Saccharomyces cerevisiae S288C: one gene and its partners. The gene in region 2 interacts genetically with the main gene of each other region. Each region holds a gene or a part of one and is shown on either strand. Other genes may lie near its edges.

Region 1 (4,335 bases), on a different chromosome or scaffold from region 2:
TCTTGCTGAAAGCTTTCTGTTTATCGAAAACACAGATTGCTGGTCGACCATCTATTTGGAGAATCATGATCAACCTCGTAGCGTTTCGCGTTTTGGCTCAGATTCTCCTAAATGGCGTGAGATTTCGTCCAAGATGTTGGCTACTCTCATCATTTCATTGACTGGTACTGTTTTTATCTACCAAGGACAAGAATTGGGTATGCCCAACTTCAAAAACAGAAAAATTGAGCAAATCAAATGCGTTGAAGGTACTGGTACATATGCCGCCATTAAACGTGATTATGGTGAAGATTCTGAAAAGATGAAAAAGTTTTTTGAAGCATTAGCTTTGATCTCTAGAGATCATGGGAGAACACCATTCCCATGGAGTGCTGATGAGCCTTCTGCAGGTTTCTCGAAGGATGCCAAACCATGGATTGACATGAATGAATCATTTAGAGACGGAATCAACGCAGAAGCTGAGTTAAAAGATAAAAACTCAGTCTTCTTTTTCTGGAAAAAGGCCTTACAAGTTAGAAAGGAGCACAAAGATATCCTTGTTTATGGACATAACTTTCAGTTCATTGATCTTGATAATGACAAGCTATTCATGTTTACAAAGGACACAGATAACAAAAAAATGTTTGCTGTTTTCAATTTCAGTAGCGATAATACGGACTTTTCAGTTCCTGATAATGAGGCCTCCTACACCATGTTTTTTGGCAACTATGCAAACTCAAATGGTGATTCCCGCACCTTGCAGCCATGGGAAGGAAGACTTTACTTGTTGAAGTAACGAGCACATTTAACATAAACGTACTGATCTTTCGAAACAAATAGTTATGCCGATATTTATGAATAATAAACTTGTATATTTCTTTTTACTTTTGCTTTTCATATGTGAGCATTGGATACTTAACTTACGCTGTACGCTATTTTCAATTGCAATTTATATATGTATATAGAAGACAGAAAATTCACTGAACCTTTTTCCGAAGAAATATAAAATAAAAAGCAACGTACAGCAGAAAAATAGAAAACATCATTATTACTGTTTCTATTGTCTAAATTTAGCCCTTTAAACCCCATCATCATAAGTACTAATTACCACGAATTCAATAATTAGTAAATACATTCGACTATTCTCACCCTAACTTTCGTCACTTTATCTTAAAACACTAGCTAAAAGTCGTTTATTATAACAAAACTAAAAATTTCGTAGTATGCACGCCTTATTGCCCAGTATTTTGTTAACTGTATGGATTGTACTAGTAAAAAAAATCTTGACGAAATTGAGTATAAACAAAATTTTAAAAAGCATAGTGCCAAATCAACAGATCTTAGTGAGGTGCAGGCCTTGTTCTTAACAAAAGCAAACCCCTCTTTATATATTGATATATAGGTGAACTAACTCAAATCATGTAAAGCTTTTCCTAAAGGAGCTGTGAGACTCCATTCCGAGAAAGTAACTTTCAATCCGCCACGCTCAGGTGTGCAAGCCATTGGTCCAACAAGGTAATGGTCAGAAGTTGGAAATGGAGCCAAACGTACTAACGGCCATGTTTTTTTATCAGAGGACACCTGAATCCTCAAAACGCCCTTTTCAACAGTAACACGAAGCCAGAAATCGCGAGCATTTCCGCCATAAACAGCAGTTGACCAATCTGATTTTCCATTTGTCAAAACACTGCTTAGCATTGCGTGGCCATCAGAAATTTCTATGCCAGCTTTGAGCCAATGTCCATCATCTATACGAACCATGATACCAGCCTGATCATAAAGACTCTCGTAGCTTCCCTGAACACGGACTTGTGCAGTAAAAGCACTACCTGTCTCTACTCCCAAAAAATGACCGCTATCACGGGTAAATCCGTAAAATGTTTCACGCCAAAAGTCAGTTTTTTCATCTGTTTCCAGAGTGACTTTTCCTGCCTCTTGAAAAACAGATTTTGGCTTATTGAGCCATGTTCCTTGCGATAATTCAGTATTCTTAGATTCGACCATTGTGTTTGGTAATTTATCTTGTTTGATGGAGAAGCCGTCACTTGGACTTTTGTTAATATTAGGTCAGGTTAAATACCTAGGAAATCTGTGCGTATAGGATCATCCCTTTCTAACTCCATCGAAAATGTTACTTGTTTTGTTCGAGGCTATTTGATGACCCTTTCATATGGACGCATGCAGGTGGCCATATTTTCAGTTTAAAGTTTCTCCGCATGTTAATTTGCGCTGAAAAATTAGAACGGTACTTATTTCCCCGAAAATTTCTCAAATCCGAACATAAAGCTACCAGCCACGCGTTTTCTATACGGTTGGAACTTGAGCAGTTTTACATAAGTTGTAAACTATAATTTTCTCCTCGAAGATAGATTATACCAGAAAGAAGCTACTATACACAGTCGAGTTGAGAATGAGCAACTTAAACCAGAACATATACCAATAATTAATAATCTCTCTGCGTATTTAGTCGACTAAAACTGAACTAGCTTTTTATTTATTCTTATAAGAAAATACGGTACATAATCATAGAAGACAACACTTGCTTTCGATAATTCCTCCAGAAAGTGGATCCATCATTTTCGATAGTTTGTAGTTGTACTATCTTTTTCAGTGATCTTTCTTATCACCTTACAAGGATTACCTGCTGCCACTACATTTTCTGGTATGTCACGAATCACAACACTACCGGCGGCAATCACGGAGTTTTTACCTATATTTACTCCAGGAATTATTGACACTCCACCTCCAATCCATACATTGTCTCCAATGGTCACAGGCATGGCATATTCTAATCCTTGAAGCCGTCTTTCCACGTCAATTGGATGACCTGCCGTATAAATACCAACATTAGGGGCGATAAATACGTTGTCACCGATGACTACCTTGGCCCCATCCAATATAACAAGATTGTGATTGGCGTAAAAGTTGTCTCCGATATAGATGTTACTTCCGTAATCACAGTAAAACGGCGGTTCAATTATAAAGTTATCAGTGCAACTACCAAGTAATTCTCTTATTACCTGGCTCTTTTTATTCTCATCAGCGGGGCTAAGGGTGTTGTATTCGTGCAATTTTATTTTAGTCTCTTTTCTAATTTTCAAAAGATCTGGATCATAGTTCGCATCATAAAGCTCACCAGGTACTATATTTTCTAATACGCCCATTTTTCTCTAGAAGCCTTGTTTATATGCTTATTAGAATGCTTCTCTATGTTCTTGTTGTAGTACGTGAGATCTCACTCTTTATACTTGCGTCTTTTCGAAGTAATGCTAAATAGTGCCTGGCCCAGCGTCACAGGGTGTTTAACGAGCGCGTACTATTTGTGAATTTTTTTGGGCACATTGAAAACTTTAATTTTTTAAGTTATTCAGGCACGGCACACTATGACAGGAGGTTACGTCGGAGAAATAGCGTTATGGCCGATTGTGAGAACATTTAAGAAATTTCAATCCATAACAATAAAGTGGCAGTGTCACCTAAAATATTAGTACCAACTTGCCCAATTGGCAGAAGGAAAATAAGGATATCAGGCCACCGACTTGGTACTATTTTTTTATGGTAAATGTGTACTTTTACTAAGCTTAATTTGAAACAGACGTCATATGAATGTTTCTGGGGCTACTTGTTACAATTCTCGGTCCGCAACAACTGAACTCTGTACTGTTCTGTCTCAATGCTTGGTTTCTTGAATGGAATTTCACTCCACCCTTCGGAACGTTACAAAATTTATACATTTTAAAAATTATTCATGAGAGAAAGATGCTATAGTAATCTGTTCACCCTGTCAACTCGTGTAGCTCATGTTTATCATATAATTTCTAGTTCTATAAGGCATAACAAATAGTCCGTTAAGGATTAAGGCGTAAAAAAGTAAATATTGTATATAATAAATAATTAAGTTCATGTATTTTTTTCCAGTTACTAAAAACCGGAAGATTAGCTGGAAAAGAACCTCTTGTAGATTGGTCTATCGTCATGGTCTATGGCGTCAGCATCGTAATCTGCGGTTCTTCTTTCTGGTGGCACCCATGAGGCTGATTTCCATGCTGGCACACCTTCCAGCCACATAGTATTCACCTCCTCCAGCGTCAGGCCTTTTGTTTCTGGGACAAAGAAAAAGACATAAAAGTATGCAAAAACCAGACAGCCTAAGAATACATAACCGTAGTAAAAGTTGATTGCCCCGGTAATGAATGGGGTAAAGAAACTAATCAGGAAACCCCACATCCAGTTTGCAGCTGTTGCGATTGCCATTCCTCTTGATTTGACCCTAAGAGGAAACGTCTCTGAGACAATAACGTAACAGCCGCCTGCCCAAGTGGTGGCGAACGAAAAAATGAAGAACATAGTAAACAC
Region 2 (3,757 bases):
CAATCAATCTTTTCTCTCCAACAACAGTTTGAGCTTATTTAATCAAGAAAATGGGTCTATCATCTATCTTTGGCGGCGGTGCACCATCACAACAAAAGGAAGCAGCCACTACTGCAAAGACAACCCCAAACCCTATAGCCAAGGAGCTGAAAAACCAAATTGCTCAAGAACTGGCTGTGGCTAATGCGACTGAATTAGTGAACAAAATTTCTGAGAACTGCTTTGAAAAATGCTTAACTTCGCCATACGCTACCAGAAACGATGCGTGCATTGACCAGTGTTTGGCTAAATATATGAGAAGTTGGAATGTCATATCAAAGGCTTACATCTCCAGAATCCAGAACGCCTCCGCTTCTGGCGAAATCTAAACACACCATCAGGATCAATTTACTGCGCAGTATGTACTCGTACTTGTATATAAGATTCAAAGGATACCAAGAAAATGCTATTACGTTTAATAACGTCGAAGAACAGTATTGCACTATACTTGCTTGGTATAGATATGTACAAAATATATGTATATACATAAAATGAGTTATTCTTTTTCCTAATTCTCTTTTTCCTTTAGTAGAATATAAAATTATAATAAGGATTTTGTGAACATCTGACAGACAGGCTCGTTCGTGTCTATTTCCATTCTGAAATTTGAATGCGCTTTGGCGAGACATAGATTTGTGTCAAAATATGAAGTTGAGTGCCTTTATGAGGTTGGGTTGAACATGAACAACCAGCCAAAATAAAAAAATAATAAATAAGACGAGTGCCACTTATATAGCTTGAGAGAGAGAGAGAGCGTTTGCACGTATATGTGTGACATAATCAGCGTTTACTCATCATCGTCGTCTCCATCGCCTGCAGCTATTCGAGCCTTGACATCTTTCCATAATTTTCCTTTGTTGTGATTCTCGTACCATGAAGTAATAGCAGTATCAAATACAGTTTGGAAAACAAAGGCACCTGCAAAGATAGTACCAACAAAAACAGCGTTTCGTTTGAAAAAGGTTTTATATAGTGATGAAAAAGACTACTCATAATTTATGCATTGTTAGTAACCTGAATGGAAACGCATGGAACATATTCATAGAGCTGCTGTCACCAATTTCATAAGCTTCGCTAAGTCGTTGCGCTCATCGGTGGGAAACTAATTTCCAAAGCCCATGATACTTGGCTAAGGAAGATTCCACGGATAACATTTTTAGCCTGAAATGTGAAGCAGCACACACACACACCAACATACCATTTTAGTCCGTATTGCTATTGTTGCTTTACGAAATTGCGAAGGATATGAAAATCAACCTTCAACGATTATTGACTATCCGTGACAGGACATTAAATACAACTGCTAAGCTAAAGTTTGAGAGGGGATGTCATTAGGGAAAGGCCCAAGGATTGAGCAGCTTTTAGGTCCTAGAATTCTTTCGGCATTGACTTCCCCGCGTTTGATTGGGTCGTGTATAATGATACATATTAACAACTGGGGAGTTCAAAAGTTGCCTTCGCTAGATAAGGAAACTTATGATAGTCACTTCGAAGTATTTGTAATTAGGTTGGTATTACTTCTTTGTTAATAATAAATAAAAGTCAATCGACGCGCAAATGTTTAATAATGTATAAGTTTTTATATACAAATATGTCAACTATAAAACATAGTAGAGGGCTTGAATCTACCAAATCTCTCGCTCATCAGAGTCATCATTATCATCAGAGTCATCCTCATCGAGGTTTCTTGGATTTGTATTTCTTATGATAGTAGCTCCATCAAATTGAGGTCCTAAGAACTGCAATATTGGTGGGGGATTCTGAGGTGCATCATCATCGCCATTTCCCTGCGGTTGTAGAGTGTTCCTAAAGTTTTCGAAGAATTGGAAAAAATCACGTACTCCGCCACCAGCAATACCTTCTGCGCCAACCCCAAATAAGTTGGCGGCCTGTCCAGTTTCATCATCAACATCCATTTCGTCATTTCCCTCCGTAAAAAACCCGTCTTCTCCCTCTTCCATATCTTCATCATCTTCATCTGTTGGAGGTATTCTTCTTGGCCTTGGTTCTCTATTAAATGCAAACAAGAAACCATTGGAAAGTATAGTCACTCGAAATTCGTCACCCATTACTCTACTAATATAACCTGGAATTTCATTGTTAATCCATAATCTGTTTAAGTGCTCATATCTTTTCAAATTCAAGGTGGTTAAATCACCTCTTCTCATGGCATTTCTACCAACTTCACCATGCGAATTTAGATATGGTGCAGATATAAAAATATTAGAAGGAGGCTGTGTCAAATGGAGACAAACTTCACTTGAATTGGGCATCAGGAAGGCGCCAAATGGTTTAAAACAATTTTTATTCAAATGCTTGGTCATTTCATGGCGGTCCGCTCTTAAATGCACTTTGACACCACATGTCAAACATATTTTGAAATCTAATCGATTATCCGCATTCTTCATATGCTGAGAACGCTCTTCACGTAGCTTGATTTCCTTAGATTGGGTAACGTAAGTATTCAAATATTTTGATAAATCTATCAGTTTTATAATCCCACAATATTCATATGGGATGTTCTCCAAATATGGATGCGATACAATGGACTCCTGCGTTGTCAAAAGATCGACTAAGGATTCTTTTTCAGTAATCATTTTCAATGCCTTATTGACAAACTCGGCGGTATCTTCGAATTCCAGTTCTTCTTCAACCTCATGACCGTTGATGACCAGCGTTTCATTTTCAGAATCTTTCACTAATTCGTGTAGCACTTTGATAAAGACTAAGCACCTTCTTATCGTAGGAAGAAGACTCTTCAACAGGAAGGTATAAGCTAGATCATAAATAATACTTTCGGAGTCCAATCCCTCCATTCGTACATCAGATATGGTCCTTAGGGCGAAGAGCATCTGCTCACTTACTTTAAGAACATCCCCAATTTTGGACGCTTTAGCATACAATTTGGTAACCTGTTCTGCATCAGAAAGACCCTGAAGAAAATCTCTTAGAAACTGTCTAGAGAACGTTGTTAACGCCTCTGTAACAGTCTGACGAAGTGAAACTGGAGAAAATAAAGCGCTTCGAACAATATATTGGAAGAGTTGATTTTGGTTCCAAACAGTATCGGGCTGCTGCGGGTACGGTTCAAACTCCATACTTGGCTTGCCTATGACAAAGGTGAACAGCATAATGCAGACTAATATATTTTTTAAAGTTTTGTATTTCTGTTCCCTGCTTCTGAAAAATGAAATACTGTATGGCTTTTCTAACCTAGAAGCAATTTCTAACATTGAAATGGTATTTGCCCAGTGCACACTTAATATTAAAGAAACGTCCTTATGCGAAAAGTTGGCCCGCTTTCTTACCGCTTTATCAAAACCTTGACACTGAGATATCATCAACGAAAATATAGAGTTTATTGTACGATAATTTTCCTCAGTAAAAGGTTTGAAGAGCCTTGACAATGTATCCAAAGAAAGTTCTGATTCCAAAAACATATCTAGCGACAAACCAGTATTTGCCTTTGAGGTTTGACAAAGAGGTAAAGTACAATTCGAAAATGTTTGGCATAAAGGACATATAAACGCGTTTGATGAAAATCTCTTTTTTTGAACGTACCTCTTGAAGCAGTTATGATGAATGTGATGATTACAGGATACAAATACTTTCCTAGATCCACAACTACCGTTTTCCTTCAAAGCCTCTAAAACATCATCGTCAATATAAGCTTGTTTTTCATCATCGTTGTAGAAACCATCCCACATGGGCATAAATT
Region 3 (4,410 bases), on a different chromosome or scaffold from region 2:
AGATGAAAAAACTTCTCAAAGGGAACAAAACTGGCAATTTGCTGGTGATGACGGCTGCTATATCAGTCTTTTGACGACACAGAACACTTTATACATTATCAATATAAGAGATCTTTCTTCGTCAGGCTTAAAAGTTCAATGTAAGATAAGTTTTGATGAGCAGGTATACGTATCGCAGGTGACAAATTTAATAGTTGTGGTAGCATTGCCAAATGTTCTTCAAATATTGAACGCGATGACAGGCGAGTTAATAAAGACAGTGTTGAAAACCGAGAAGTTTCCCGAATTTTTGAAGGTATCGCAGGATAAAATCATTATGGGAAGCGGTAACGTTTTGAATTATTTAAAGTTTGTTTCAAGTGATTCAAAGAAACATCACCATTCCACTAAAGGTAAAAACACAGTAAGCAATAAGTGGAATGAAACTTTGAACACGGAGCTGCAATATTATGATGAAGATGAAGACCTTAGAAGAAAAAGACAGTCAGAAATATCAAGATTGATCGATGCGTATGGTGGAGACCTTGAACTTTCAGGCGACACCGATGAAGAAAACGACATTCAGTTGAGAATTGCACTCTTAGAATCACAGGAGGCGCAAGCACGGAATCAAGCTGAAGCGGGGGAGCCTGTCGGAGATGATGAAGATGAGCAGTTAAGAAGGGCGCTGGAGGAATCTCAACTGATATATGAGACGCAAACGAATAGCTCTGCGAATCATGGTAATAATACGAATGATGAGATAGATGAAGATGATGAAGAGTTTCTCAGAGCCATCAGACAATCAAGAGTGGAGGACGAAAGGAGAAGACATCTTAGAAATCATACTACAGGTCGACGAAATGGGCCCTTGAGCGACGATAATTTTGCTACATATGGTGCAGCAGAGTCATCCGAACGAACCTCAACTGAGAACACTATCGGTAGTTCTGTTGGCGTTGATGCTAGTAATAATGTTGATGAAGACTTACAATTGGCCATTGCGTTGTCATTGAGTGAAATCAATTGAAAGTATGTACATTTGGAAGAGCATATGTTAAATATTTTATTTATAGATTTTTCGTTGTGAAATATTATTTTTTTTTTTTTGAAAAAAATGTCGGACTTTATTCCTCCTAATTATTAATAAAATACGAATATATATCTAAATATAATTAATGCTTATTTACATGAAAAATCATCAATCGTAAACAGTTGATTAAAAAACAAAAACTTTATCGGTTCCATTACCTTTGTGAAACCCATTACTCCACCCCAACTCCTTTGCATAATTCAAAACCATTTCATTCATTTTAGGTGGTCCGCAAATCAATAAACGATGGTCCTCCGCTTGTTTAGGTAGGTATCTTTTCATTTCCTCTAGAGTTACGTACCCAACATCACCGTTCCATTTACCGTTTGGCTTATGAATTACATAATGAACTTTAAAATGCGGGTACTCCTTAGCCATGTGGTCTAGTTGCGATTTCATGAGAATGTCATCCTCTGTTTCGTTTGCGTATATCAAAGAAATGTGTGTTAGGTCTTCTGGAGAGGGTATGATTTCTTGCAGCACTTGCAATACAGGGGTTATACCAGACCCCCCTGCGATTATACCCAACTCTGTTGCGGTGTCCTGATCATATTCCAGCTCACCTAACGGCCCTTTAAATTCAACATACTGGCGAATTTTTAATTTATCAAAATACTTAGAAACGACACCATGTTTATACGTCTTGACTACTAATTCCAAGTGACCCTCCGTATTAGGAACATTTACTGGCGTATAGTACCTCACTAATCGCTCACCATTTATTGTAACCCTTACTGCCAGGTGGTATCCCATGGGAATATGCAATCTTTCAAATGGGTACTTTAACTTGAAGCAGTACAGACTAGTATTACGAGAAATGCGGGTCTTCTTGGATAGCGGTAGCGCGACCCATTTATTTCTGTAAAGAGATTTATCAGTTCCAATCGAAATAAACGCTGTGGCATAAAGTACTACGAATTGCAGCAATGAAACGACCACGATTCTACCATTTTGCGTTTTCCAAAAGTAAAGAGGTGTAACCACACAATTCAGAAGCAATCCAGTACAAAATGGATAAAACGGATTTGTCGAAACAAAAGATATGCATGTCTCTACTATCGACATTGTTGCGAATGGTTGCTTTTTACAAAGAAAAAATGTGATATGAGTTAATACTAAACATACTTAAATCCTAGAGAGAAAAAAAGTACTGCAATATATACAGCACTCAAAATACATTTCTATCTGATTTCTAAAAACTTCCCTGTAGATGGATCTACGTTACGCCATGCCGATGTTTCGTTTTTGCTTATACGACCAATCATTACCGCGTTCGGCTTTTCCAAAAAAAAAAAACTATAGTAAGGATAATGAAAAGAAAAAAGGGTCCCATGATTACTAAAAAGCTCTAATTCAAAAAAAAAGTCTTTGATAGGCAGCTAGGAATAGTTATTAGAATGTACATGAACAGTCATCACACTGCTATATATATATATATATATATTCTTTTTTAGTAAAATATAGAGATTATTGAGACAAAAAGAGACTAGTCGGACAACTCACTAGGATCTATAATACCATTTATGATAGCCCACTGTTTGTTTGCCAAGAATACATTATCGGGATCTTGCTCCTTTCTTATTTTCCGGAACTTTTTCAAATCCTCGCCATACCATTCTTCAACCTTCAATGCCATCCCCCTCATTTCAAAGTCATCGTAATCAGTATCCTTTTTCACTGGTCCAGCAGCTAGAGTGGTTGAGCCTAGGAAGTTCTTGGCCCAATGTGGCTTACCTCCCGCTACCATCATAGTATTTTCAAAAAGGGTAAACCATTTATGAATTGGAGTATTACAGCCAAACGGCCTATAAATGGTAGCATTTATGTACAACGTCAACTGACTGTTGGTAACATTTTCCAACGGAGCAAATCTGCAATGGGATGGTGTGTTATCCAGGAATGGGCGGCACACATTGCCATAAACGGGACCGGGACTGGTGTTTGTTCTCTTGCTAGTATCCAAGGGTTCAGAAGGTAATGTAGTATTTGAGCAACGGACTTCCATAGGCACGTGGACATAAAATTCTTTGTTTATGGCAGCCTGCGCAATAGAATGATCCAATGAACGTAAGACTTCCAAACCATTATCCATAGGGCACCCCCATTCATCAACAAATTGTGAAAACAAACAGTCCATATTAAATCCGCTGATAGAATCGGTAACATTAACATCACCAGTAGAGCTCTTCTCCAATTTCCCGTATTGCCTGTTGAAAACGAACTTTTCCACAAATGGGGTTAATGGCGCATAGATTTTGGTAGAGATCCATAATAGAGTTTCGTAGAAAAATCTACCCAGCTTGGTACCCCACCATGACTTGGCTGGACCATTTTGGGCATCTGTAGTTTTGTTACCCCTCCATAGAACACATTTTCTAGTATAAGGGTACCACCAAACTCTGATAAATTCAGATGAAGTCCATAGGGTATCCCATTGCTTCAAAAGGTTTTCAAAAGTAATCACTTCTTGAGTGGATTTAATATTGAAGCCGGGAACAACCCTGATAGTAGCAGAGACAATGATACCAATTTTTCCAACTGAAAGTAAAGCAGCTTTAAAGACTTCTGGATCGTTTTCAGCATCCAAGAACTTCAATTCGCCCTTACCATTAACAATAGTCAAGTTTACGTATTGAGAAGAAATCAAACCGTGATAAGGTGAGGAACCATGACTACCAGTAGAGATTATGCCAGCAACACTTTGTTCTGAGATAGAGCCTAAATTTTGGATAGAGTAACCTTTCGCACCCAAAAATTCATTCAATTGGTAAAGCCTCATACCGGCATCAACTGTGACATCGGCATAATGTAACTCAGGATATTCAACAAACTTTTGTACTTTGTCCAATCTGTCTAAGTTAACAAGCCATTCATCAGTAACGCACATGTTACTAGGAGAATGGCCCGAACCAACAGTAACTAAGCTTTTTTCAGCTAGCCTGGCACTCTTTACTAACTCGACAACCTCATCAATTGAACTTGGTTGGAAGTAACGTTCTGGTTTTGCAGAATAAATTCCGGCCCAGTTTTTGAACACATAGTTCTTTCTAAATGGGATAGTAGACATGGGGTGAAAAACCTGATAATATCGGTAACTTTAATTTTACGGGTTCTTGTTTTACCTTCTAATGAATTTTAAGTTTTGAAAAGCAGAAAATCAGATATTGAAACTATAGATCTGCTTACCTTGAAGTTCACTATTTTTGGAATTCTCCTTGCTAATAGTTACTTCTACTCTTGCTTTGTCCTGGATATCAATGGAAGATGTCCTCATTTCCATTTTTTTTTTCAATTCGACGGCAAGGCGGGAGAAAAGGAACTAGGGATACAAAAATGCA
Region 4 (4,060 bases), on a different chromosome or scaffold from region 2:
GTAAACCTTCCTTTAACGCAGCACGCAGAGCGATACCAATGAACGAATAGCAAGCCTTCAAGTTTGCTGAACATTGCAAAAAGATCGTCATCATAAATATAGCTTGAATGGAATAGATGTCAGTAATATTAGAAAAGTCCAAAGAGTTTTTGGCCTCTAAAAAGTATCTGTAGCCTTCATCAGTGTAAAATTCCCTAGTTGCTTTACTATCCTTGCTGAGATCTTCCTTAGAAAAAAGGGCTCCGACTGCTAAAACAGAATAAATTAAAGGTTGTGTTTTCACTTGTTCTGGAGTATATTGCTTGCCATGTTTTTCTGCTTCGTATATCGAGTCCAAGATAGAAATGATAGTAGGTCTGTGATAGAACCTAAATAGCACACAGGCACAATCCCAGGTCTTTTGAATAAATTTCAAGGCAATCTCTCTGGGTGGTAATGGAACACTTGTTTGCATGTGCCAAGGCGTATCTTTTGGTAGACTTTGACGTATTACCTGATTAACATTTAATTGTCCTTGAAGTAGACACGTTTTAATAGTGTCCAAAAAATTCTGGCTGTTAAAAGAAGAAGAAGCAAGTATTTGACGGAGTGTTTCAGGTGGAAAGATCGTCTCTACAACCTTTTTGTAATCAATGGAACTTATAGGGCCCTTGCTATCTTCCCGTTCGTGGGAAGCTCTCTGTGCATATAAGGAACTATCATCGCTTACTTCCCTATCAAATACCGATGAGTTCCGTGGGGGGCGATCATATTTGCATTCGTAACTATTAGTCTGGCAAAGTCTACATGGTATATTACCACTACATCGTACTTTCCTCTTTCTGCAAGCTATGCAAGCTCGATGTGCTCTTCCTTTCGTTGGCTTCAATTCGTTGGTGCCCGCATCTCTAGATAAAACCAAAATCTTAGATCTCTTGCCTTTCAACTTCTTCATTGCACACGAAATAGGCTTTCCAGATTCTTTCGGCGTCATCTATTGAATAATTCTTTGGTCTAAGTTGTATGTATTACTCTTTAAATTGAGACAATCAAGGAAATCACACATATAAAAATACTGTGGATCTGAAAGATTGGGTTTTTATAGGATAAATGCGTATAAAGGTAGATCCTAGGATTAATTATTATGGTATTTACATATCGCCAGAAACTTATATATACTCCCCTCACGCCGGATTATTATTTGCGATCGTCCCATCGCTTCTTTATGAGCTCGTGTAAATGATGACCTTGTGGACGCCCCATTTTCCTTTCGTACACATAGTAGCTGAGACAGCCTACCATAATTGCCAATAACGGATCAGAAAATCTGCAATAGAGACCAGCTTGGGAAAGAGCACATCGACTTGTTTGATGTTGCCTCTTCGAAACAGCAAATGGTTAACTATGCGTTAGTAAAAGAATAAGTGTGAAAAAAAAAAAAATAGAATAGCGTATGAAGAATGAACATACTTTCCTAATAGAAAGGGAGCGTACTGAACCATGTTATCGATGATCTTGTGTGGAATCCTCTTATAAATGGAGTGAACATTTGTATGCCCCTTGTGTGCGTGTGGCTAACAGGGAAAAATAGAGCCCGCGTAATCTTGAATAATCTAATATGTGAACAGTCTTTTATTTCCGCACTTCATACCTATATAGAGTAATATAATTAATCATTGATAGGAATTTACATAATGCAGCAATCTCGTATGCCTAGGCCGTACATTACCTTTTCAACGTCTTTCCGTACACGAACCCAATCGCTTCTCCTCTGAACAAATTCATAAATTTCCTCTTGCGTAAAAATGCCATTGAATTTCCCAAGATCAGAAATAAGCTTTCCCAACTCTTTCGAGTCCTTGCCTGAAATGATGTATAACTGGCCAATAGACTTAAGCCCAACAAAATAGGGAACAACATTTTTTTGTTTTAATTTGTTAGCAATAAAATCGTAAAAGTAATTTAAATCGCAGATTAACCAAATTGCGCCCTCCGTAGATATGAAGCACTTCTTCAGATGTTTGACGATTTCATTAAAGAATCTCTCGCCAATTTCTTGTTGGTACACGTCAATAGTACCCTTGTCTGTGGCACCAGTCAGTAGAAAGCAATGATTAGAAAGTAACTCGACTACCCTGATAGCACATTTGGTTGGCTTTATATCCCTTATTGGAGAATTCCTAGAGGGTGGCGGTGGATTATAATCGTCAGGCAATTGAAGAGTCTTGAATACAAATGAGATTTCATCCATTAGTTTGTTTATACCGATATTTAAACCTTCGGCTACAAAATCATCGATAGAAGTCTCAAAATTTTTTTTTAATTGGATAACATCATTAAGAAAATCTTTATTTTTATCGATAATTTTTTTGGGAATCAATTCGTTCTTGTAAAAAATGGAAATCATTTGTAATATTATGTCACCTATATTGATAAGTTCAGTGAATTGTACTAAAGGTTCGACTTGAGTATTGGCTGGCGAAAGTGAATTGAATTTTATTTCTATTTGTTCTATTTCGTTAGGATTATATTTTTGTAGTAGCAGGATTGCCTTTTCAAATGCAGGTTTAACGTGATTTTTATTCAATTGTGTAATTAAAATTTTGAAAATCTCTTGACAGCGTAGCTTGATCAATGGTAGCAAACTTTCAATCGTATGAAATTTGTAAATTTGATCCGTCTTTTCGCTTGTTTCCTGTAAAATTTTGTAACATAAATCGAGACTTATTAACGATTTAATGTTTTGCAAGTTATTGGAAATTAAATTTAAGTTGTAGGCTAGTTGTAGTTGTTGCTTTAGCCTTTGATTTTCATTGTTCGAGAACTTGAAAATCTTGGTGAAGGAACTTAGAAAGTCTAGTTTATCATTAGAAATATCAGTTGAATGAACTGATTGATGGATCGTACTTGGTTTTGAATCCGCTTCTGGGACAGTTTTGGAGGTTTCAGTAATTATTGAGAGGTCATTCGGCAATTCATTGTTACTTGCACTCGAAGCATCCGTTTGATCTTTTAAAGTGTTATAAATTTTTGCGTTTTGCTCACGCTGCTTGTCTTGAACTTGTGTGTCATAATTAGCTAATTGTGAGTTGATCAATGATTCAAATACTCTAGTTGTCTGATTCATATAGTTGACAACAAAGGGCTCGAGATACAGGTTTAAAAGGTCACGAACAACTTTACGGAAATTTGCGCCTGCGTTTACTGAGTCGTTTAATTCAGTATCAAACTTTTTTATAAATGTGAAATAAAGTTCGGGTACGCATTCATAATTGGCTTTACTATCCTTTCCATTTTCTTTTAAAAATTCACTATAGCTTAATAAGATATTGTTTAAAATATCTAATAAAATATCTTGGATAAAGGACTCGATGAACTGTAATATTACAGGGAACTCATCTTTGAATAAAATGTCCGCTAATTTAATCTTTTCGTTGAGGAAATCCCTTAGCTGATTGAGAAACGTATCTAAATTTTTAGAATTAAATATCACGGTACTCCCACCGCTGTCCTCTTCCCTTGGTTGTTCGGCCCAAAATAATTCATCATTAGACGGCAAAACCGTTAAACTGGGAGGCAAATCAGCCTTTGACTTGAAAAATTCGATAGCATTGCTTTCCTCATTAGATATCAATAAAATTTTCATGAAACGAGCGACGGCAGCTAAATTATTAGACTGGTAATTCAATTCTGACTCTTTGAGAACAGAATTAATGAAGATTTCCCTAAGAATGTTGAAATTAGTTTCAATCCTAGTAAATGTTTCTATATCATTTTTATTCGAGAAATTGTACTTTTTGATAAAATTTAGAATTCTTGTTTGTTTCAACGGATCGTTGGAATATGAAGTAGGAAAGAAATTTGCTAGATTATTATTATATAGCTTCCTAGCGTATGAGTTATAACAACGGTAAAATTTCACAAAGATTTTTTTAGAATTTTGAGCAGTGAAAGATTTGTATATTTCGAAGATGCGAAGGGAATTTTGATTATCATTTTCATCCAGCAACGTAATTTCTTCTTCTTCATTTGAATGCACCTGTTGGAGACCCATTCTAGTCAATTTCAATGACCAATACTT

What was found.
Region 1: mutations in QCR9 (region 2) and REE1 together harm fitness more than expected from each alone (negative genetic interaction), as found in Saccharomyces cerevisiae (2 studies listed by BioGRID).
Region 3: mutations in QCR9 (region 2) and AIM33 together harm fitness more than expected from each alone (negative genetic interaction), as found in Saccharomyces cerevisiae (2 studies listed by BioGRID).
Region 4: mutations in QCR9 (region 2) and NCE101 together harm fitness more than expected from each alone (negative genetic interaction), as found in Saccharomyces cerevisiae (2 studies listed by BioGRID).

Annotation. Positions count from the first base shown.
Region 1 is NC_001142.9:20,781-25,115, reverse strand, and holds REE1 (Ree1p), read right to left. Parts: upstream 1,984-4,335; coding exon 1,387-1,983; downstream 1-1,386. Other genes in the region: oligo-1,6-glucosidase IMA5, read left to right, coding at 1-775; YJL218W (acetyltransferase), read right to left, coding at 2,553-3,143; hexose transporter HXT9, read right to left, coding at 3,916-4,335. UniProt on the Saccharomyces cerevisiae protein: Functions in the galactose metabolic pathway via the GAL83 protein and that it may control the level of ENO1.
Region 2 is NC_001139.9:858,237-861,993, forward strand, and holds QCR9 (ubiquinol--cytochrome-c reductase subunit 9), read right to left. Parts: upstream 1,241-3,757; coding exon 1,238-1,240; intron 1,025-1,237; coding exon 827-1,024; downstream 1-826. Other genes in the region: protein translocase subunit TIM13, read left to right, coding at 51-368; E3 ubiquitin-protein ligase UBR1, read right to left, coding at 1,665-3,757. UniProt on the Saccharomyces cerevisiae protein: Component of the ubiquinol-cytochrome c oxidoreductase, a multisubunit transmembrane complex that is part of the mitochondrial electron transport chain which drives oxidative phosphorylation.
Region 3 is NC_001145.3:93,233-97,642, forward strand, and holds AIM33 (cytochrome-b5 reductase), read right to left. Parts: upstream 2,138-4,410; coding exon 1,199-2,137; downstream 1-1,198. Other genes in the region: SCF ubiquitin ligase complex subunit UFO1, read left to right, coding at 1-1,009; ALO1 (D-arabinono-1,4-lactone oxidase), read right to left, coding at 2,559-4,139.
Region 4 is NC_001142.9:48,963-53,022, forward strand, and holds NCE101 (Nce101p), read right to left. Parts: upstream 1,482-4,060; coding exon 1,450-1,481; intron 1,307-1,449; coding exon 1,177-1,306; downstream 1-1,176. Other genes in the region: YJL206C (uncharacterized protein), read right to left, coding at 1-973; RCY1 (Rcy1p), read right to left, coding at 1,667-4,060. UniProt on the Saccharomyces cerevisiae protein: Involved in a novel pathway of export of proteins that lack a cleavable signal sequence. May be part of the export machinery or may also be a substrate for non-classical export.